Drosophila melanogaster: one gene and its partners. The protein of the gene in region 2 purifies or fractionates together with the protein of the main gene of each other region. This does not show direct contact. Each region holds a gene or a part of one and is shown on either strand. Other genes may lie near its edges. The genes, in order: CG4707, al, Tim10 and Hsp60A.

What was found.
Region 1: the proteins of al (region 2) and CG4707 purify together in Drosophila melanogaster (affinity purification with mass spectrometry, with the first as the bait; one large-scale study listed by BioGRID). This does not show direct contact.
Region 3: the proteins of al (region 2) and Tim10 purify together in Drosophila melanogaster (affinity purification with mass spectrometry, with the first as the bait; one large-scale study listed by BioGRID). This does not show direct contact.
Region 4: the proteins of al (region 2) and Hsp60A purify together in Drosophila melanogaster (affinity purification with mass spectrometry, with the first as the bait; one large-scale study listed by BioGRID). This does not show direct contact.

The regions. Positions count from the first base shown.
Region 1 is NT_033778.4:24,603,732-24,609,115, forward strand, and holds CG4707 (uncharacterized protein), read right to left. Parts: upstream 3,293-5,384; 5' UTR 3,171-3,292; coding exon 3,054-3,170; intron 2,991-3,053; coding exon 1,717-2,990; intron 1,654-1,716; coding exon 1,263-1,653; intron 1,208-1,262; coding exon 968-1,207; 3' UTR 864-967; downstream 1-863. Other genes in the region: Samtor (S-adenosylmethionine sensor upstream of TORC1), read left to right, coding at 1-827; CG42360 (uncharacterized protein), read left to right, coding at 3,635-3,790, 5,204-5,305, 5,359-5,384; CG42361 (uncharacterized protein), read left to right, coding at 4,063-4,353, 4,412-4,530, 4,588-4,801.
Region 2 is NT_033779.5:375,779-381,539, reverse strand, and holds the start of al (aristaless), read right to left. Parts: upstream 3,429-5,761; 5' UTR 3,059-3,428; intron 1-3,058. UniProt on the Drosophila melanogaster protein: Involved in the morphogenesis of proximal and distal pattern elements in a subset of appendages. Also has a role in early imaginal disk development.
Region 3 is NT_033778.4:21,688,784-21,692,993, reverse strand, and holds Tim10 (translocase of inner membrane 10), read left to right. Parts: upstream 1-1,854; 5' UTR 1,855-1,884; coding exon of another isoform or gene 1,885-1,922; 5' UTR 1,923-1,993; coding exon of another isoform or gene 1,994-2,153; 5' UTR 2,154-2,205; coding exon 2,206-2,356; intron 2,357-2,519; coding exon 2,520-2,647; 3' UTR 2,648-2,779; downstream 2,780-4,210. Other genes in the region: CngB (cyclic nucleotide-gated ion channel subunit B), read left to right, coding at 1-224; Ppcdc (phosphopantothenoylcysteine decarboxylase), read right to left, coding at 302-562, 620-759, 824-998; CG42496 (uncharacterized protein), read right to left, coding at 1,014-1,298; CG42497 (uncharacterized protein), read left to right, coding at 1,885-1,922, 1,994-2,153; CG10307 (uncharacterized protein), read right to left, coding at 2,807-3,067, 3,126-3,710, 3,772-3,951. UniProt on the Drosophila melanogaster protein: Mitochondrial intermembrane chaperone that participates in the import and insertion of multi-pass transmembrane proteins into the mitochondrial inner membrane.
Region 4 is NC_004354.4:11,105,880-11,113,048, reverse strand, and holds Hsp60A (heat shock protein 60A), read right to left. Parts: upstream 4,568-7,169; 5' UTR 4,416-4,567; intron 3,247-4,415; exon of another isoform or gene 3,124-3,246; intron 3,009-3,123; coding exon 1,638-3,008; intron 1,575-1,637; coding exon 1,224-1,574; 3' UTR 741-1,223; downstream 1-740. Other genes in the region: CG11122 (uncharacterized protein), read left to right, coding at 1-198; CG42249 (uncharacterized protein), read right to left, coding at 4,971-5,070, 5,129-5,480, 5,543-5,642, 5,701-5,858. UniProt on the Drosophila melanogaster protein: Prevents misfolding and promotes the refolding and proper assembly of unfolded polypeptides generated under stress conditions.

The DNA of each region.
Region 1 (5,384 bases), on a different chromosome or scaffold from region 2:
GCGCCACAGCGGCCTGGCAGGAGCACACGAGTCCCAGGAACGCCAAGCAACTGGCGGAGTACGCCAAGGCGATGAAGCAACTGGCGGCCATATGGGAGACCAACGATGGGAAGGTGGAGCTGCAGGCACGCAGCCGCATCAAGTGGGCCATCGACTACATCACCAAGTACTTCTTTACCGAGGGCATATATTTGCAGAAGCGCCAGCGGGAGCAGCGACTCCTGGAATCCTACAGAGCCGAGGGAAAACTGGGCGAGGTGCAGTGCAGGCTGATGGAGGAGCCGCCGGACAGGCTGCACGTCCTGGATGTGGGCAGCTGCTTCAATCCCTTTTCCAGTGCTCCGCACTTGGAGGTAACCGCCCTGGACTTGTGTCCCGCCACCGAAGATGTGCTGCAGGCGGATTTCCTCAAAGTGGAGGTGGTACCCGGAATACGAGAACCTGAGCTGGAGGAGGGCAGCGTAAGAAGGCTACCAGCAAGCCACTACGAGTGCGTCATTTTCAGTTTGCTACTGGAATACATGCCCAGCGCCGAGCAGAGACTACAGTGCTGCCTTCAGGCCTACGACCTGCTGCTGCCCGAGGGCATCCTTGTGCTCATCACACCGGACTCCCAACATGTTGGCAAAAACGCCCACCTCATGAAAAACTGGCGCTACTCCCTGGCCAGGATTGGACTGCTACGGGTACGCTTCGAGAAGTTGCCGCACATATCGTGCATGGTGTTCCGCAAGGCCATCAGCCGGGAGCTCTCACAGCACTGGGCGAGCATTCACCGGGAGGAGGGGATGTGCGAGGAAATTCGGATACCGCAGGACGATAGCTAGATAAGATTCAGCCCCCATAAATCGATGTAAATATGTCCACGTCTACTTATTTATGGCTTAACTTATCTGTGTTAAGTGCGAGTTAATAATAATGGTTGACGATTTATCTACTATCTATGGATGTCGTAAATGGACAAATGCTATTGCTTCTGTTCCGACTGTGGGAACAGCGCGCCGCTGGTCTGGCGCTTCTTCATCGCTGTGGTGGCGCCCTGCGAAATCTTCATGATGTTCGGCGGGAGCGGTTTCTTGCGATCCGCCTCCCACTCGGCTCGGTGGAGCCGCTGACGGTGCTTGTACATGTTGGCGTTGGAAAAGAACGTCATGGGGCAGTTAGGACAGGTGTACAGCACCTCTCCGGTGTGCGTTGATGTGTGCTCCTGTAAATTAGGTGTCGAATACTTAGATTTCTCTGTAAGTGAGCCCCACACTTACCCTCAGATCCTGTGGACGCTTAAATGCCTTTTCGCACATCCCGCACTTGAACTTTCGCTCACAGAGGTGGTTGTGGTAGATGTGGCGCTTCAGGGCTCGGGAATTGGTGGATGTCTTGTTGCAGATATGACAGCGGTGCTCGTCGCCCGGCGGCTCGTGTACCGTTTTCATGTGCTGCTTTAGTCCGGACAAGTGGCGCAGCCAGGTGCCGCAGATCTCGCACTGCACGGGATCGGGTTTTGGACGCGGTTTCTCGGAATGTTCAAGCTCGTGATGCTTTTTGAGATTCGTTTGTGAACGTAGCGTCTTGCCACACTTATCGCAGATGATGGCCGCTTCCGGGTCGTGCATGTAACGCAAGTGCTCTTTCAGTTTGCGTTCCGTAGGAATCCTGAAAGCATTAAGGGATTACTTGGGGGGTTGCTCATATGCCTCATACCTGATGGACAATTACTTCTTGTTGCACTCCGGACAAGAGTATTTGAACTCGGATTTCGGGACATGCTTGGAAACGTCATGATACTCCATGGCCGCCTTGGTTGTGAAGCTCTTGGGGCACTTCTCGCACTGGTAGATCCGCTTCTCCTTCGGCTCCGCCTTGACCTCCGGGTTTGTGTGTGTCTGCTCGTGGACCTCCAGGGCGCGGGAGTCCTGGAATACCCGCCCGCACTGAGAGCACATAAAGTGATCTGGGTTCTTGTGGACCAAGACGTGCTCGGCCAAAGCCTTGCGCAGGTGGAACTTTCTCCCGCAGCATTCGATGTAGCCAGATTCGATGTTGTGGGAAACGCGTTGATGGCGTCGCATGTCCGCAAAGTTCTGCACCAGCAGATTGCACAGAGAGCACGGAAACTTTTTGAAGAACTGCAGGATAATCTCATCGTACTCGTCTTGCTGGAGCTTCCTCCGTTCAATCTCCTCCCGACTCAGACGAACGGGTGGAACCAGTGGCTTTTCCCTTTTTCGGTACTTCTTAGGTTTCACCACAACCCGCTTGGGAATCTCAGCGTAACGTTCCTCAGGCTCTATGTCCGGCAGGCTGTGGTCGGAATCCTCTCCACTGCTCTCACTGGAGGAACTGGAGCTGTCGTCAGTGCCCAAGACAGCCTCGGGAGCCACGAACTCCATGTCATTGTTATCCCTGGCATTTTCTTCGCCATCTTCGGAGTCCAGTTCCTTCTTTGGGGAAGGAGCCGATTCCGGCTTAGCTTTGGGTGGCCGTCCTCTTCTTGCGCTCCTTCGTAGCTGGCGTCCCTTGTTCGCTTCGCTGTTCTTTGCGGGTCCAACTGAACTTCTCTTTGAATCCGAGTTTAAAAAATCGGCCAGAGGTGCATCCGAGTCACTATCCACTGGCAGCTCGTTTTTAATGCGCCGCTTCGAGTGTGGTGAGCCTTCGTTTGGGACACCCAACCGTTTCGGAGCTGTTCTGATTTCCGTTTTAACTGGGTCTTCCAAGAGTTCCACCTTGGGCAGGGGTTCTAGTTCGTTCACCTCCACCTTGACCTCACTGGGCGCAAAAAAGGCCTCCGCCAACGCGTCCAACTCCACAGAATATAGCGGATTAATGATGGCCTCCTCTGTCTGACCGCAAAATTCGATGGGTTCGCTTTTGGAATCGCTGCTCCGCTGCCGGTGCAGGCAGGAGACGCGCTGGTGAAACTCCTCGAAGCTGCTAACGCAGTTCCAGCACTCCCGACAGACCTCAGCATCACCGCCAGCCGTAAGAACCTGTGGATGGCGAAGAGTTCGGTTTGGTTTATCCAAAACTTGCGATTATGGCGCAGAGCTTACCTCGGAGAACGCGAAGTGCTTGTGGATGGTCGCCCTAATGTTCAGACGGACGCCTTCCTCGGATTGTAGGCCGTAGCCAGCATTGCTACTGTCCAGGCAGAGCACACAGACAGTCATGACGAAACCGGATGCACTGGCTGAGTCCTAATCCTGCTTCATTTCCACACAAAGTTTTTGTTTACGATTTTGCAAAAATTTGTTTTCCAAAGCAAAGCAGGGTTGACAGGGGCGTGCATGAAGAGCTGGTGAGCCGATAGTATCGAGACAAGCAGAATAATCATTAGTGAAACTGAAAAACAATTTGATGTGCTGATCTTTGTATTGTATTAAAGCAATTTCAATTTTGGGCGAATTATATAATTTAATATATTAATGCAAGAAATTTATATTAACTGTACAATGTAGTTACACCCTAACGCCTTTTAGATTGCCCCCTCGCACAGTGGAAAGGGCCTCGTGCTTGAAAAAAATACCAAAACATAACGCACATTGCGGTATCAGCTGTTTCCCATAGCTTTGTTGAGTCGATAAAGATCAGAGTTTTAACCATTTAATGCATTATTCAGAAGCGATTGCCCCGAATGAGCGAAACCAATAAAAACAAGGATCCCACGGGGACCAGTCTGAAGAAGCAACCTTGGCACAAGCGCGGATCGGCCTCTGCAATGGCCTCAAATATCTTGTTGCAGCTGGCGGCCGAGGATCCCCAAAGGGACGCTTATCCTAAGGACACGGTGGTAAGTTGCCTGTTTTATAAATGAAATCCATTTTTGCGACAATATCAAGCCCGCGTCGGCGGCACGCGCAGTTTCTGTTTTCCCGCGAGTGGTAACCAAGTGGTGGTAGGGGCTTCTTTGGGCAGTGCGCAATCGCCAGCGCCCTGCACCCCACATTCCCATCGAATAGTGAAAAGTTCCAGAAAGACCAGCTCCAGCCAACTGAATCACTGCTGCCGAAATCAGCAAGTCCGAATCCAAGAGGCCAAAGTATCACCTACAACCCACCAAGTATGGAGAAGATCTGGAAGAAGGTGTGCGAGCACCACGATGTGCCCGAGCAGGTGGCCAACGAGTGGTTCGCCCGCATTCAGCAGCACCTGAGCTCCGAGGATCCCGCTCGCGCCTACCACAATTGGGAGGAGATGATGCGGCGCAAGGAGCCGCACTTGGCGGGCGTGGCCAATCCCAACATTGTGCTGGCCGCCTTCTTCCAGTACTACCACTTCGATGGTAACCGCAGCTGTGCGGAGAAGAACTGCGAGGTCTTTGAGGAGTTTTGCAATGATGCCGTCATCGAGGATGTGAGTAGGCGTGCGGTGTAACTAAACCTCTATATTCGGCGTGCTCTACCTTAAACAGGACCATGCAAAAAGCCTGGTATGTAATTTGCTGGGGCGCAAGACCCCGGAGAACCAGTTGACCTGGTGCCATGACGACGAGGCCAACTTGCTGCAGGACGTAGACCTGGTGGTCCTAGCGTGAGTATTTGTGCAATCATTGTCCGTGTATTTCAAAACCCATTTACACTACTAAAGTGCTTCGCCGGAGGAGTACAAGCACTATACAACTCTCCTTCGCTCGGAGTACGCCAATCTCGACGATGCCACCTACAAGGCCATGCGCATCAAGGTGCTGGAGACCCTGCTGATGATTCCCTCCATCTACGCCACTGGAGACTACCACGACAAGTACGAAGAGCTAGCCCGCGCCAACATACGCAACGAGATCAGCGAGCTGAAGAAGCAGTAAATCAGAGTTGGAGGACCAGGATGTAACGGGGCTGCTTTGTTTACTGCTGTTGAGTTGTGTACTTACTGGCCGTTTTACCTCGGTTGACTGCAAGGCACTCGTGTATTGGTTGAGCAACCTTCTCTGCCGAACATCTACTTAATTTTACTCCTAAGTGAAGTGTAATCAAAATCATTTTCCTAGTTAGTGTGTACGCCTAGATATATACGTAAGCCCTGTAAACTCCAGCTCAGAATAAAATTGATGTAAATGATGTAACAGAAATGCAGTTTCACTCAAAGCACTTAAAGAATCAATGTATTTGAAATCGCAGTAAGTAGGAAAAGTAACCGTAGAAAAACTTTTCCAAAACTATGATCAAGTCACAAATCAATTAATTACATTCCATTTTTCCATTTATAGATCGCAGCACAAGAAACAGGGGCCTCCAGCTCAAACACCAAAATGCCCAAACAAGCCGTTAAGCACAAGGGCTTCAAGAAGATCCGAGGCCCTAAGCCAAAGGTAAGCAATCGAAATATAAATATATTTGTATTATAGTATGCGATACTCCACAGAACGGCCAGAAAAGACTGAAGCGCAA
Region 2 (5,761 bases):
TCCTTCATGTTTGGTGTCGTTTTTATGGTTGCACTTTTGTGTTTTAGCTCCTTCGGCTCCCGATCTTCCCGGTGCAATCCTCGATCCTCGATTCTCGGTGTCTGGGGACTGTTGGGCTGGCATATTTCATTAAAAGCCGGGCCAGAGGGACGGCATCAGGTAGAACAGCAAACAGAAGCTCTTTTCTGGCATTTCGTTAATGCGCCTCCGTCTCGATCCTCCACTCTCCAGACTTTATTGATCAGACTCCAGTTTCCAGCCAGTCCCCAGTCTGGCCGGTATCTGGGCTGCTTATTTATGGGTTTACATTAGGCTAAACCACTTTAGTCACACTTTGATGATCGGCATTGTAATTTCGCCTCCGGTTCTTCGATAATGGCAAGCATTTTGGGTGGCTTAACTTTTGGCCCCGAGCGAAAGCTCAATGATCGCCCCCGATACCAGTCCCTTGGTGGTCCCCTGGAGAAGTTGACGGATTGGCCAGCGACGTTCCAAGCTTGGTCGTTTACTTTTGGTTCGATAAGACCAATTATTATTTTCGACCAGCTCTTGTAAGTCACCCAGAAATGTTTTTAACTAATATCACAAGCAGCTGAGCTGGGCCGAGTCGAGTCAATTCCGTAGTGTTTATCTCATTTAAGCTGCACCTGAGCCCTCCATTCACCTTCCAGTTGTTGGGTTGTTTGTTTCTTGGCGCCGTCTTTTGGACCAGGTGCGATAAGGCAGCATTCTTGTTGTTGGCCAGGCGCCGTCATCATCGTCTGTTTCTGTACCTCTTGTTCTGGGGTGTACGTTATGGACCTCTAATGCACACACTCCCAATTATAATTAGTTTATTCATATCCTGTGTCGAAGTTGCTGCCTCATTTGTTGTTCTTTTCCACAATCTTAATTCAATTTACTGCCTATCAGACGAAGTTGCAACGAAGGGTCTAGTACCCTTCCCCTACGCCTGGTGAATGAAGTTGGTCAACTAAGTTGTTGATCTACTTATCCTATATAATCCCTAATATGTCTACAATTTAAGGTATACATTAAAGTTTTAGGTCTACAGGCAGAACACGTTCCCATTTGAGACTATCTATTAGCTAAATACAATAAAAATTGTATGTACTTGAACTTTTGGGTAAAAATGTATTGACACATGGATTTCGAGCTCTCCAAGGGCATTCGAGATTCGCTCCCAGGTAGCAAAAATTACCCCGTGTCCACCCTAATGGATCAGAGTGCCGGGACGGTAGTCCAAAGGTAGACGCAAGTTCAAATTGTGACTCAGAGCCAGGATCAGCAACTCAAGACCCACACAGAAGACCAAGAAGTTGTTGATGGTGAATGGCGATGCTGTAGCTACAAGCTTAGCCCGTGTTGGTGATGTTGATGCGGGGCCAATTACTCATAAAAAGCATGTTAAGAACAGCAGTCGCAGTGAGGAGCTATAAATTGGGACCGGAGGGGATCGGGGATCGGTGATCGGTGTTCGGGGATCGGGGATCTGGGGATTGGACAACTGTTGCCCGACGCCATCTCCATCTTCGACTGTTCCGCCCTGCCCTTTGTCATTGTCTTGTGTGGTTTGATAAGCGAATCCGAGGCAGACGGTGGGCAATTTGTGGACGACGACGTTAATTTCTCATGTTTGCATGTTCCATTTAGCGAGGGGCAGGGGACAAGAATTAATGAAGCACATCTCAAAGGGCCCTGGCGCCATCTTCCCGCTGGAGAAGATTTCTCTCGGGGGGTGTGTTGCCATCAACGATCAACAATCAACCGACATCCCTTCAAAAGACAGCGCCCCAAATTGGGAGCTGTCGAGCAATCGAACAACAGCGAATCAAATCAAATCAGAGTTCGTGTTCAGATAGCTGCCAAAAATTCGGGTGTATATCTACAAGATACAGTATCTAAGGTATCTGGCAACAAGTTTTAATTGTATGTTGCCGTAATTGAATTGAACTACATTTCGGTGGAGAACATATTTTAATTTTACGCTGTACGGGACAATCTTATCGAATCTTTTCGGTATTATCTATTGGGAATGATGCTACCTCATAGATACAAATACACTGCGACCAACTTGCGTCACAAATTCGTTTAAACTTGTGCTGACAAGTCACATGAGTTATAAGTATTAATTAAATCAGTTGGCCAAGTGCCCGATTATCACCAGGAAAGAGGGTCCCGGTTTTCCTTTGCCTTATCAGGACCCACATATCTGTCTATATTTGTGTTATTTTCACTATATATTCGGGGCCCTCGTCCGCGTCACGAAGCTAAGTGGTCAGTGGCTTTTGACAAGATTATCGGCGGGTGATAGGTGTGGCTGGTTAATTTCATTTATTCTGTAGGTACACGGGACAAGCATAAGACTATGCCCCCAACTTTCGACCAAAACCACCTCTAGAAGGGAAAAACATCAGCTAGACAAAACGTGATTTATTGGCGCTGACTGCACTGCTGACAATTTGTACTCTTTAATGGTGTTTAATTAAAACCAATCAGCGATAAACTTATCGAACTATCAGCTAAGGCAAAGGCGAAATCTTTCGACCCTCAAAATTGAGTTAATAAAATTCTATTCTACAGCGATGATACGATTTGGCTTGATATTTGTCTGATTTGATATGTCCAGGTGGGAAATTAATCAAATTTAATGATATTTATGTCTCGTCATACGTTTTATTTTTCCCTCTTCACATTGATTGGGATGATTAGACAGGTGAATTATGAAATTCATTTATGGCTTATACTTGTAGTATTTGTCTATCATGCTGAGAAGTAGGTTATTCGCAAGGTGTGATAATAAGTTTATGTGATTTGGGGATCGGAAGTGGCGGAAAAGGGTCAAGATTAGTTTAGGGCTAAAACAAAATTTATATAAATTGCTTGATTAAGAAAATCCCTATCTTTGATATGATATAAGGCAATGACTACGGTTGTGATAAAAAATTATGAGTTACAGTAACTAGGATTCCCTGTTTAATGCACGCTCTCGATATAACAAATCCTATTCTGTCCAAAGAATGTTTCATATATTTTTGATAAAATGTCTGAGACTAACCTTCCTTCTCCTCCTTAATCGCCAGATATTGTACGGATGGTCTTGATAATGTTTGGCCTTCTGAATCTCTCTCTTCCTATTTAACCGGGCTAATAAGCCCTGTAGCTCTCACCAACAGTAACTTTTGCCGACGGTCTTTTGTCCACTTCTTCCAACAACCAGATACCGAGTACCAAGCGTTCACTTTGATCGCGATACACCTTTGATGGGTATAACTTTGTACTACGCGCAGGATACCGACACTTCCGCAATCGTACGCACTTTAACCCGGAAACAACAATGTATCCCCAGCTCGACTATTCGAATCGGAATCGGAACCGAACGCGACGAGATGACCGGGCTGTTCCAGAGCCGGCAGCAAACTACACGGTGAGCAGTTGGCGCGCAGGTGAAAACTCTGGTGGGTCTGAAACAACAACCGGTTGGAGTTGTTGTTTTCCAATGTTGCGAGAGTGGTTTTCTGGCCTCCCAGTGTTTTTAGTGTTTCGTAGTGCCGCAGAGCGAGAGGGAGCGATGCGATCGGAGCATGTCGATCGATCGTCGCAGGTGTCGCAGGTGAGGCGGCAGGTGGCCGGGAGGCGGACTCCGCCTCTTTCTGGCGGTTCGGCCTATGGGAAAGCAGCATTCGACGGAGCGAAATAATGGCGGAGCTGCTCTCTACCGCTCTCTGTCGCTCCGCATGGCCCTCTCTCTCGCGCCTCTTCGATTGGGCGTAATTGAATAAGCCCCGCACAAAGTGCAATAAATTTGATTAGCAAAATGGAAATTTATTTGCCCCCCAGCTCAACGCGTTTTCCTCTGGTTGCCATAGATGCATTTGCCAGTTGTTGCGGCTCATAAATTAAATAATTTAGCCAAGACATATGGGAAAAAGAGTTGCGTGTATTGGGGTGGGGACTTGGAACCGGCCATATAGACCGTTTTGGTAGTGTTAAGGGCCTCGTTAATGACTTTGTTGGCTTTATTGGATGATTGTCGGACTGTAGACTGTTTTGCTTACCCATCGGAGTGGGGGTGTCATGCGGGGAAGGGCAATAACTTGAGAAAAAGGTCAATGAGCCAGCTATGTAGATGACTCAAGTTAAATTTGAATGAAGGATGTTTGGAAAAGCCGTTGATAGTTTTTAAATAAGTGAATATTGATTTAGATTGATACAACGTGAAATACAAGCCATAGGCTTGTACATCACATCATTTTTATCACATCCATCTTCGTAATTTAATGTAATCCAAGGAAAAATGTTTTCCGTCCATGATGAAAAACTGAACTCAGCCCAGCTCTTGCCATTTCCGAGCAGACCTAACAGATTCCATTCCTTGATAACCACTTCATTAGGCTTTATATAAGCGGGCCTTATACATCCACAGATCCATTCCAGCGGCATTTTGCACTGGAAGCGTCCCCCTCCTTCGACCATCATTCGCTGCCCAATTTGCTTGTATCGCAAGGCAATAAATAAAGTGTTAATGGCAATTGCATACAAATAGTTTGGTGTTGCCATTATATGGCCATATTATCCCATTGTCGGGCCTTAACAAGAAGTAAACAATGCGACGCTCTCCGAGTTCCATTGCAGATCGGAATAGGGATTGGAGTCGGAGTTGGATCGAGTCCGCTGCACTGCTGCCAATTTCACGCTTCATTTACGGGCGAAATGCAAACAAAAGACCAGCGACCATCGACCGTCGACGGACGAGGAGTGACCATTTGTCCGACGAGTTCAATGGACAGCAAACTCGGACCGGGATCGGGAATATCTGGTACCGAGCACGGTATCTCTCGTCCCCATGTGGCCGTGTCAATCAGCCCGTCGCGCAAGGTGTGCACTTATTATACCCAGTGTTCGGGAAGAGCAAGGGCTTGATGTATTTACCCTTGAATAAGATGGTATCCTCACAATTGAACTTCATTTAATTTATTTTAATCGGAATCCAAATTAGAGAATTGTCAGGTCTTTATATGTACAGATTCAGTCCGCAGCATATATGCTTATAAGAGGATATTTGATGGTTTATTCGAATAGGGAAATTTCGTAATTTAGCGGTGAAATGGATCTAGTACTAGGTATTCCTCTGTCTCAATACATCCGTGTGGACATTCTTCCCCGTTCGGACTCAATTCGGGTCCACTCTAAGCAGGCTCAGATCGCTCCACAGCGCGAAAGAGACGGAGGCTTAAAGTGAAAGAGTCGCGCATGCGCGCACGTCCTAATGTAATTATTATCTCAACAATTGAATTTCCGGTCCCGACTTCGACTCCGCGCTGTGGCTGTGGGTCTGCATCCACTCCTGCACATGGGACAGATGTCGCGCAAAACGCTACAAATGTGCACTTAATTGCGCAATTAAATAATTTTATTTCTGCTGCGCGTTTTCCTTTTTCTTCTTTTCCCCCATAAGTCGTTCGCCGTTTTTCTCCTGGCTGATAGCAAACAAATTGCAGCCAAGTGGCCAAGTCAGCTCGCCCGTTCCCTATCTGCTGTCCGAGGTGTCTTATTCATTATGACCATTATGCGGCTTAGATAGAAGAATTTACCAGTTGCCATTTGCCAGCTGGGAGAATGAAATAGATTTGAGGGGCTTGCCATTTGGTTAGACCTTCCAAAGATGGTAGCCTTTAATCAACTAGCGGTGTCTGCTTGGTGTTTGCTTAATTATTCTTATAAAACTTACAAAGACAACTTCAAAGCTAAGATGGTGTTG
Region 3 (4,210 bases), on a different chromosome or scaffold from region 2:
AGATGGAGACCATTGTTGAGCCCAAGATGGAGGTGACAGGCGCTGCCGAGACGCAAGATCAAAAGGGCTTAAAGACAGGACGATGTTCGCCAGATTTGCTATCTTCCATACAGCAAGAGCTGAAGTCTAAGCACAAGTTTATCAACCTCACGGACTCGGAGAAGGCGCTGATCAGCCAATCGGCAAACAATTCCCTGGAGGACATGAAGGTGGTGGATCTCTAAGATTTCATAGCCAATTCCATATTATTTGTCTAACTATTGTAACAAAATATTCTGCGATATAAACTTTGTGTGCATAACTATTTAATCGGCTGAAAGGCGGATAACACCGCTTCCACAATTGTGGGTACCTCCGCCATGGCGCCGTTGCCAGTATCACCGCACATCAGAGTCTTGGATATGCAGGGTATCTCCTTGTAGCCCCAACTGGTCAGCTTGTCGATCTGCTCCCGAGTTATTGGATGGTCGTACATACGGGTATTCATCGCAGGTGCAAAGAGCAGCGGCTTCTCAAGGTCCCAGGCCCGCACCACACACATGACGATATTATCGCAAATCCCCTGTCATAAAAAAGATACTGAAATAATGTTCTGGGTAAAATGTCGACCCAAACTTACGGTGGCCATTTTGGACAGAGAGTTTGCGCTGAGTGGGGCTATTACCAACAAATCCGCCCACTTGCCTAGATCTATGTGGAGTACAGGATCTCCTCGCTTGTTCCAGGTGATCCACTCGTCGCGATTGTGGTAAATGGGTACTACAATATATGCAATAGTTTGTTAGTTAAAGTTAACAAATACCCGAAGATTTAGACAACCTACCATTTTCGGGAATCTGCTCCAGTTCAAAGAAGTGTTTGGCTGCTTCGGTAATAAGTACTTTCAGGTGGAACTTAAAGGGTAGGCGCTCGTCGGAGAGCTCTCGGATTAACTGGGCTAACTTAATGGTGGCCACACTTCCGGTGGCCGCTATCATCACATTACGTTCGGGTTTCATGGCTCACAATGCCGGCTATTGCTTCTGCACCTCCGGTTCTTTTTGATCGGTCTTGGTACTCTGGTCGTGAAAGCCCAACTTGGACCACTCGGTTTTCTCCATAAGATTGTTGTCCATGCGACAGGCCAGGTAGTTCTGGGCGTCCTGGCGGCACTGGCTCGTATCCTGGGCGTTCTTGCGCAGACAACTGGCGTAGAGGAGGAATTGCTTCTTGCAGAGACCTTCGTGGTCCAGGGGAAAGGAACCCTTCTCGGGCGGCGTGGGCACGAACTTCTTCTGGCTGTAGATCTGCGAAGTCATTTGTGAGTTGCTCTGCTCGCTCCTTATCTTAATTCATTGATAAAATATGACTTAAAATTACGAAATAATTGTGTAAACAGCAAGTCAGTGTGACCAGAGAATGTTGGGAACCACAAGTTGAAAAACATTCGGAGTTACAAAGGTCACTTTCAAATCTTATATGAACTTAAATATTGAGAATCTTATAAGATAAAAAAATGAATAAGGTTTCAAGTATGAAATTCAAAATCTTAAATATGCTAAAGCAATAAATACTCACAATGTTGCTAACATATTTATCACTGATACTGATAATTAACATGTAGCATTTAAAATTTGCAATTTTTAAATTATATTAAAGCCATTGACAAACATATAAAGTAATTTGGCTGATTAAGTGATAAATAAGTACAGTTCCAGAAAACAAATCAACCTAGCAATACAGATTCACTCTGATTCCGAACCAACTCAAATCACAGTTTCCCAATACAGTGACTTCGATTGAAAGGAATAACCCTATGTGACAGCTGTCACACGTGCCAGTGATAAAAAATCCCGCACACCTTCCAACGGAACGCGTTAGTGTGTCGTTTTTTCGTAGCAGGCTATGTCGTTGGGCAACGCAGGGCGAATCGCTGTCTGTTGGTTTGTAGAAAAATCGTTTTTAGTTACACACACTTAGCTTTACTACATGGTGTTTGAAAATCCCGAAACAGGACTGTTTTGACCGTGGGTGGCGTCTACGCATTTGTGCTGTCAAAGAGATCCGTTGAGAACCGGCGTTACGAGAGCATGCGAGTGCGTGAGCGCATGAGGAAGGCAAACCAAGGGGATTACGACTCAAGCGCAGCATCGGACAGGCGATTCGATTACTAAGCGGCAGCATCCAGTACCTAAAACCCATCAGTAACACACCCACACCCACACAATGGCATTGCCCCAGATCAGCACCGCAGACCAGGCCAAGCTGCAGCTGATGCAGGAAATGGAGATCGAAATGATGTCCGATTTATATAACCGCATGACGAACGCTTGCCACAAAAAGTGCATTCCGCCGCGCTACTCCGAGTCGGAGTTGGGTGAGTACCATAGCCATATAGAATGCTGTATCTAGTTCGCAGCTCTTTCTATGACAATCACTTCAGGTTTCTCTTTGATTCGATTGATGAAATTTAAATAGAAATCTTGAAACTTGTACCACAATTCTACACTTGTAATTTTAATGCTTTCCGCACCCTACAGGCAAAGGCGAGATGGTGTGCATCGATCGCTGTGTGGCCAAATATCTGGACATTCACGAGAAGATCGGCAAGAAGCTGACGGCCATGTCCATGCAGGACGAGGAGCTGATGAAGAAGATGTCTAGTTAACCTGGCACCCATTAACCCACATTTCCGCTTAACCAATGTGCATTTTTGAAGCGCTACGATTGTTAGAGGTACATGTACAAAACACCCCGTTGTAGAGAATAAACCACAGATTTATGTGTGCTACATAATATCAGACCTCGTTGACACAGATTAATGCATTCAAAAGGTGGTGACAAAGCGCGACATTTCCGGCAGCATGACACTCAGATCCTCGATGTTGTTCTCCAGCGCACTCTCGTCCGTTGTGTCCAGTTCGCTGGTCCGCACGCTGTTCGCCCAGTCGGAGGAGTCTAGATCCTGTCCTGCTCCTCGCGCCTGATCCTCCTGCTGTTCCTGGGCGTTGAGGCTAGCTCGACTGGCGAGACCATCGCAAATATTGGCGGGATCTGACGGCAGCTCCACATAAAGGTTCGTCTGGCGCTGTAAAATTCAGAGAAATTCAACAAAAAGAAACACAAAGGTTAATTTGGAGCTTCACCAAAGCCATTAGCTGTAGATCGCGGTGCAGGCTGATGGGATTCTTGGACAGGTTGAGCATGTGAAGAGTCCGCAACTCCTCCAGTTGTGACCGCGTGGGCATCTCGTCAATACAATTTTCGTTGAGAAAAGCAAACCGCAGCTTCTGCATGGCCATCAGCATCCTGGGCAGCCGTCGCAATCGATTCCCCTTAAGATTCAGATGCACCAAATTTCCCAGCAACGCCATGGTCAGTGGCACTTCGCTGAGTTCGCAGCCCTCGGCTGTTAGCCAACGCAGGGAGGACAGAGCGCCTATGGCATCGGGCAACTTCTTCAAGGGATTTCCCCGTACGCCCAGCGTCTCGAGGTGTTCACAGTTACGAATTTCGTTGGGCAGCTCCAGGAGCCCAGTATTATTGCACCAGAACGTCTCCAGCTGAGTGAGGTATCCCAGTTCGGGTGGCAAACTACTAATGTTATTGCAGCTGATGTTGAGAAACTTCAGCCGGACCAAACGACAGATGCAGAGCGGGAATTCGTCCAGTTTATTGTAGTCCAACGTGAGGACCTGAAGTCGCATCAAACTACCAATGGAGGATGGAATCTGTGAGTCAAGGGATTGTGAGTCTATTATTTCATTGGCTATCTTGTGCACCAGGTGCCACCTTTGTTAGCTTGTTTTGGTTGAGGAACAGCTTCATCAGCGTCTCGCACTTCTCTATGATGCCCGGAACGTCGGAGATTTGGTAGTGGGACAGATTCAGGGAGAATGCCTTTTTGTATATGGCATCCTCGCAATTGGCCAGCACGTAGTTGTTGCGGAAAAACTGACAAACCTTCTCCATGTCGCCCTTATTAAGTGTTTACTTCTGCAGCACTTGAATTTGGTTGTCTTGGGTTCCAAACTATTTCACACTCTTTGGAAAACCTACTCTGTTTTTGGCGCTAGTAGCTTAGTTTTCAGGCCTTGTCTTTTGTAGTTTCGAACTGTCGCCCGATTTGCGCGTTTTTTCGTTTGTTTTGAGTGCATGTTATATAACGATTCTCGGAGTCTATATATGCACAAAAATCTCTATTTGCTGCACTCTCTTTTGCCTGCCTTCT
Region 4 (7,169 bases), on a different chromosome or scaffold from region 2:
GAACGAACGGAACTGGAGCCGGAGGAGGCGTCACCGTCGCCGGGTAAACACTTCGAGGAGAACGAGACGTACCAGAAGCACGGCTGGATCGTGGGCGATTCGCACAAGAAGCTCGTGAAGCTGCTGGCCATCGCCAAGGGCAGCAAAAAGGTGGACAACTGCGGTGTCAAGCGGCGCACGCCAAAGCGCAAGTGCTAGGAGTGGGTGGAGCAGCGTCACCAGACGTAGCAACAGCTGGCGTAGGAGCACAGCACAGTCTCCTCCCGCCAGACAAGTCATAGCCATAGGCCTCGAGGGGCGGAGTCGGCGCGGGCAGCCGACGACCCATCGCCGCCATCGATCACATACGTACTGCCATTGTGTCATCGTTAATCGTTAACGCCGGCGCCAGGAGGGGATCAGGATCAGGATCAGGATCTGGTTCGGGATCGGGATCAGCTGGAGTAGGAGCGGCAGCGGGAGCACCCACTTGGCAGAGGCCACCTCCTGGCCCCGCACCCATTAACCGTATGCGGAGTATATGCAACATATTTTTCTTTCTTTTAAACATCTAAGCGTTACATTATTTAGGTTTTTTTTATTAAATGTATTTATAATTAATAAACAAAAGAAACAAAAAAGCGAAAGAGCAACAAATATAAATTTGAGCACAACAATTCAAAGCGGACGACCGATCTTCTCATTTGGGATGCCAGTAACCCAGTAGCGAACCGCCAGAGATACAAGCCGTCCAGGTTTTTCCTCAATTTAACTTCGGATTTATTTAATATATTTTACAACTAGCGGTATCTTTACATATATAACATGTAAAAAAAAATAGAGTTAAGGAATAGTTAAAAAAACGTGGAGCACAATGGAGGCGACGGCGTGTGGCGGAGCGAACGCTGCAGTCTCGACGAGCTCACACCCAGCCGGTTGTGTTGGATTTGTGTGCTGATGTTGCGCTGCTCTTGCCAAAGGATAAATGCGAAGCAAAACAAAGTTCCATCAAGGATTAGAATGCGTGTCAAATGGTGGGTGATGTGTCTCCGGCTGGATGCACCGATGTAAGAGATATTGGTGGGTCTCGCTCCGACTGCTGATGACTGATAACTGATGAGCTGCTTTCGCCGCCGACCACGCGACGTCATCGTTCCACATCGTGACTTAAACAGTATGCTGGTTTCGGTTCTCATCACATCTCCCTCCCCCTCTCCGGCTGTCGACCAGTCAGTGGCAGTCGCTTACATCATGCCACCCATGCCGCCCATGCCTCCCATGCCGCCCATACCACCCATGCCGGGCATGGCAGGAGCGCCATCCTCCTTGGGGATCTCGGTGACGACAGCCTCGGCGGTGGTCAGCAGTGAGGCCACACCGGAGGCGTCTGTGATGGCGGTGCGCACCACCTTGGTGGGATCGATGATGCCCTTCTCGATCAGGTTGCCGTATTCGCCCTTCAGCGCATCGTAGCCGTAGTCACCGGCCTGATTCTCCACCTTGGCCACCACCATGGCGCCATCAACGCCGGCGTTCTTGGCAATCGTCATGCATGGCATGCGCAGGGCACGACGCACAATCTCCACGCCGAGTTTCTGTTATGAGATTTCATAGACATTAATACACGAATAACAGAAAAGAGAGATAGATAATCGTACCTGATCCTCGTTGGTGGTCTCGACACCCTCGAGCTTCTCAATGCAACGCAGCAGAGCGGTGCCGCCTCCGGGAACGATTCCCTCTTCGACGGCAGCACGGGTGGCGTTCAGGGCATCATGGACGCGATCCTTCTTCTCGTTGACCTCCACCTCGCTGGAGCCGCCAACGCGCAGCAGGGCAACGCCGGAGGCCAAGCGGGCCAGACGCTCCTGCAGCTTCTCCTTCTCGTACTCGGAGGTGGTGTCCTCGATCTGGTCCTTGATCTGATTGGCGCGACGGAGCACATCGTCCTTCTTGCCCTTGCCCTTCAGCAGCAGGGTGTCGTCCTTGGTGATCACCACCTCGCCGACCTGGCCCAAATCGCTAACCTTGACGTCCTCCAGCTTGACGAGATCAGCATCATCGCCGAAGACAATGCCGCCGGAGGCGATGGCCATATCGGTGAGGGTGCTCTTGCGGTTGTCGCCGAAGCCGGGTGCCTTGACGGCAGCCACCTGAAGGCCGATCTTGAGGCGGTTCACCACCAGGGTGCTCAGGGCCTCACCATCGATATCCTCGGCAATGATGACCAGCGGCTTGCGCTGCGCATTGGCCAGCTCCAGAGCGGGAATGATGCTCTGCACCGATGAGATCTTCTTCTCGGACAGCAGGAGGAGGGCATCTTGGAACTCCACCTTGGCGCCCTTCGAGGAGTTGATGAAGTACGGCGAGATGTAGCCGCGATCGAACTTCATGCCCTCGATAACCTCCAACTCATCGGTGAGGGTCTTGCCATCCTTGACGGTGATAACGCCATCGCGTCCCACCTTCTTCATGGCCTCGCTGATGAGATTGCCGATGGCCTGATCACCGTTGGCCGAGATGGTGGCCACCTGGGCGATCTCCTCGGGCGTGCTAACGGGGCGCGACATGGTCTTAAGGTTGTCCTTGACGGTCTCAACGGCCAGCATGACACCGCGACGAATCTCGACGGGATTGGCGCCCTTGGAGATCTTCTCGAAGCCCTCCTTGGCAATGGCGCGAGCCAGAACGGTGGCCGTGGTGGTGCCATCACCGGCCTCCTCGTTGGTATTGTTGGCCACATCCTGGACCAGCTTGGCACCGATGTTCTGGAACTTGTCCTTCAGCTCAATGGACTTGGCCACAGTGACGCCGTCCTTGGTGATTTTGGGCGAGCCCCACGACTGCTCAATGATCACATTGCGACCCTTGGGGCCCATGGTCACTGCCACAGCATCGGCCAGCACATCGACGCCCTGGAGCATCATGGCGCGCACCTCGGGTCCGAAACGCACATCCTTGGCATAGCCGCGCATGGCCAACTGGCGGCTAATGGAGGAGCGAGCAAGCGAAACTGGCAAACGGAACATCTGTGGAAGAGCAGAGAGGATTGGTATGATGAGAACTGGCTGGTAGCAAGAGATGAATCAAAGCACGTGTTCCGCCTTGGGCAGAACTAAGATGCGGTTTCTTTGAGTTGTTTACCCCGGAGTTTCTTAGTTGATAAGCTTCCAGCGGGTCAAAGGTCAAAAATCTTCGTTCTTGAATGTGAAATTGGGAATACAACGCGTGAGCACTGTTTAACACACGCAGTTCGCTTGACTTTTCCGATAATCAGAGCTGTAAACTTCTCAGATTACTGACAGCAAAAGCCAATGGAATGTTATTTACACGGATACTTATGGAAATTACATAAACGCACAATGCTCCAAAAATTGGGAATTTTCAAAGAGTTATAAAAAAAATAATATACATTTTTTTAATAAAGCTCAATGCAAAAAACTCATTATCAACATAATCATTGAGCTAATTTATGGCATATAACACGTGGATTAGATAAATACAGATGTACATACATCTAGTTTCGGTTTATAAAAATTACAATTTTCGAAAATTACATAAACTAATTAATATCTCTGTGAGAATTGCATAAGCAGAAAGAATGTTTTTTTTTTAGGTTGTTATTAATGTGAATACAATAAAATAAAATATAAGACGAATTTAAACAGTAATCACCTATTGTTTCTATCTAATTTAATGATGAAATAGTTCTAAAAACACAGGCAACATGAGATATTTACATGGATTCTGCTCATCCTTATAAACATCATTATTTTGAATTGAAAAATTAAACCAAATCAATGAGTTTAGGTATTACTGATAGTATTATGTAAACTAATTCGTTGCAGCAGCGAGGCTCCACTGTACCGGCCAGGCCCCCTCATTCCAGTGCCCACCCCCACCCCCCGGGGAACGAACAACATCTTGGCACCGAGCATTCCAGAAGAAACGATTTATGTAACCAGCACTTGGGCAAAAGACTAATATGTAGCTCCCAAAATGGGAGGGAATGTTATTCAATGAATCAAAGATTTCCGCAAACGAGAGTGGAAAGAAAGAAAGGAAGCAGGGCAAGCAGTAGCAGCACATGCAATGCCGTCTGATAAATGTGAAATTGCCGGCAAGCAGTGGAAAACATGTGCAACTGAGTTTCCACCAGCTTTCCAATGTGCGCGCCCGTATGCGTGTTTGTGTGTTTTGAGGTGGATTTAATAAATTCTTGTTGGAATGTAATCATTTACTGCACAATGCAGACATCGTTTACTTTTCCAGTTATCAATGAACAGAACATTCTGGAAACACGATTTGCCGGCTATCGGCCAGATTGTTCGCTCTTATATAATCGCCAATGGGACACACACACTTGCACACAAACTTGAAATGCAATTGGGCAAATGGGAATGGCTCTGGAAATTGTTTAAAAGTTTAGAACTTACTGTGAATTAAACTGGTACTGCGAATTATTGACAAGACAGTTAAGCGAACGCTTCCGATTCTATTTGATGTGAAACAACAAGCCCACTTCACCACAGTTTACTCGCTTCGAAATGTGCGCACAGGCGGTCCGAACTTCCTAACCTTAATGTGTATCGGTGTGACCATTCGTTGGCCATCGAAAATAGCCGGCGCTTATCGATTGCTTGCGTCGGGCAATCGAATATTATCGGCAGCCATATGGGGGACTCGCATTCAAGTAATATTTATAATAAATTGAGCTTTCGCCGATAAATAAGTTTTCTGGTTTCCATAGAAAAGAAAACAATTTAATATATTAATGTATTAACAGCAAATATGCAAATCCAACGCAACTATTAATAATCCAATTATATAATAATGAATAACTATCGCAGCAAGCTTTATACGTTATGCTAGAGATGTTAGATGCGGAAAGCGATAGTTTCGCGCCTAAGTTTTTTTTTTTCAAAATGAAACCATACATATGTATATTTTATTATATAGGTTTACTACATTTTTCGACCATACTATAAAGTCTAAGTAGTTACAAACTGAATCCTTTGCTCGATTGCAGTCGTAATTGGCCCGGTGGAGTTCATGTAGTCCATTAAGGCGTCCAAGTCGAAAGGACCAAACCTGGCAAAAAAAGCTTTTTAATACTTTATTCAAAATCAACATTGTTTAACATGCTTACTCTGGATCTTCTGCATTTTCGCTGATTACGCTAAATCCGTTCTTCCCATTCGCCAGGTACTCCATGACGACCACGCGGTACTTGTGCTCCAAATCGAGTGGAATATACCTGGGCACCAGGCACTTGGAGCATCTTACTCGCACACTGAATACTCGCTGATCGGCGTTCAAATCGTAACGGATACGGAGACCGGAAACCTGGAGGAATCGGGAGGAACGCGGCGTGGCCGAACTGGCATTCATGGGCGCCACCACATGCTCCAGCAGCTCCACAATGTGCTTACCACGCAGACTGAGGGTCACCAGTCTATTCTGCCATGGGCACATGGCAAACAATTGCTTGTAGGTGATGTCTGTAGTGATATACTTAGTCTTATTGTTCGATTAAGGTATACATGTTGTTTTCAGGACTCACTGCCAGCTGGAATAGGCACTCGAAAAGTTCCCGTTGATGTCAAGGCAATGGTCACGTTACTCCAACTCTCTTCAGACGACGATGAAGCATCCTTGACAAACTGAAGATTCTCATTGGACTAGGTCAGTTGCAAGTGGGTTGAAGCCACCACTACTTACCGCATGAAGCATAGCATCGGTGAAGAAGTTACCCAGATTGCATTCCCCACTGCTGCACTGACTCTGCTGGAGATTCACGCGACTCTGGCCCACTGTCCGCTCGGCAATGGGTTTCATCTCGAGTTGCCAAGGCACCATGGCTTGTAGAACGATATCATCTTTGGGAGATTTTAAATGGTATATGATTATATTATGCAACCATTGCCTCCAAACATATTCCCCAGCATCAATAATCTTCCAGAGAAAAGATATGTTTGTGTACTTTCCCTGATAAATTTATTGTGGAAAATGCAATTATTGCACATTATGGATATAATACATATGTATGTATAATCAGTTGAGCACTGTGATGCGTCCCTCGAGGCCCTGGTAAATGGGATTGATGTGATTGCTGTACGAGATTAGGGCATCCAAGTCCGTGACTCCCCACCTGAAATCAGTAAATAATCAAATGGTATTACAACATGGGACACAAGATGAGCTGCCTGTATGTACGTACTGGAGGTCAGTGCCCTCGGCGAGCATGGTGTAGCCATCGCCACCAGCCTGCAGGAAGTTGGGCGATGTGAGGCGATAGAGCTTGTCGGATACCAGAGGCTCGTACTTGGGCACCTCGCAGTCCGCACAACGAATCGTTACGGATATGACACGCGATCCCACCGGCTTCGTGTAGTCGTACTTCGCCCGGATGCCCGAGAACTGCAGATTGATGTACGATCCGGTCACCCCGTTCTCGAGGTCCACTTTGCTCAGGGCCCACTCCATGGCCTCCACTATCTTGCTGCCCGGCAGATTGTAGGAAACCAGCGTGTTCTCGAAGGGCGACATGCTGACTATATGGGCGTACGTAAGATCTGAGGGATACATTCAATTGAAGATTTTTAGAGGAGTTTTTGCTATAACGCGGTCAAAAACGATCACACAACCAAGAGAATGACTTTTTTGTGCAGCCTATGATCCACATAAACGATCCCGAAATTCGTATATTTATTTCTGGAAAATTTTTTTTTTCGAATTTTCCGATTTTTATAATCTTAATTTTTTTGCGAAAAATGGACAAAAATTTACATTTTAAACTGTGAATGCCATTCGAAAGGGAATTTGGTGACGAGTTCAACGAAGTATGACATTCCGTATTTGGATTAATAACTTCATTGCTATGAACAAAAAAGGATTAGTTTTTGTTGCAAAATTGGGGATTCATTTAGCCGAAATTATGATTTTTTCGAAGAATTTAAAATCCTATAACTTGGCCAAAAATGGTCACACATTCAAAAAAATTACTGTTTTATAAAACTTATGATCCAAATAAACGATTCCTGTCAACGTTTTCATAATTAAAAAAAATTTTTTTTTTTTCGAATTTTCTGATTTTTTATAATCATAATTTTTTGCGAAAAATGGACAAAAAATTACATTTTAAACTGTGAATGCCATTCGAAAGGGAATTTTGTGACGAATTCAGCGAG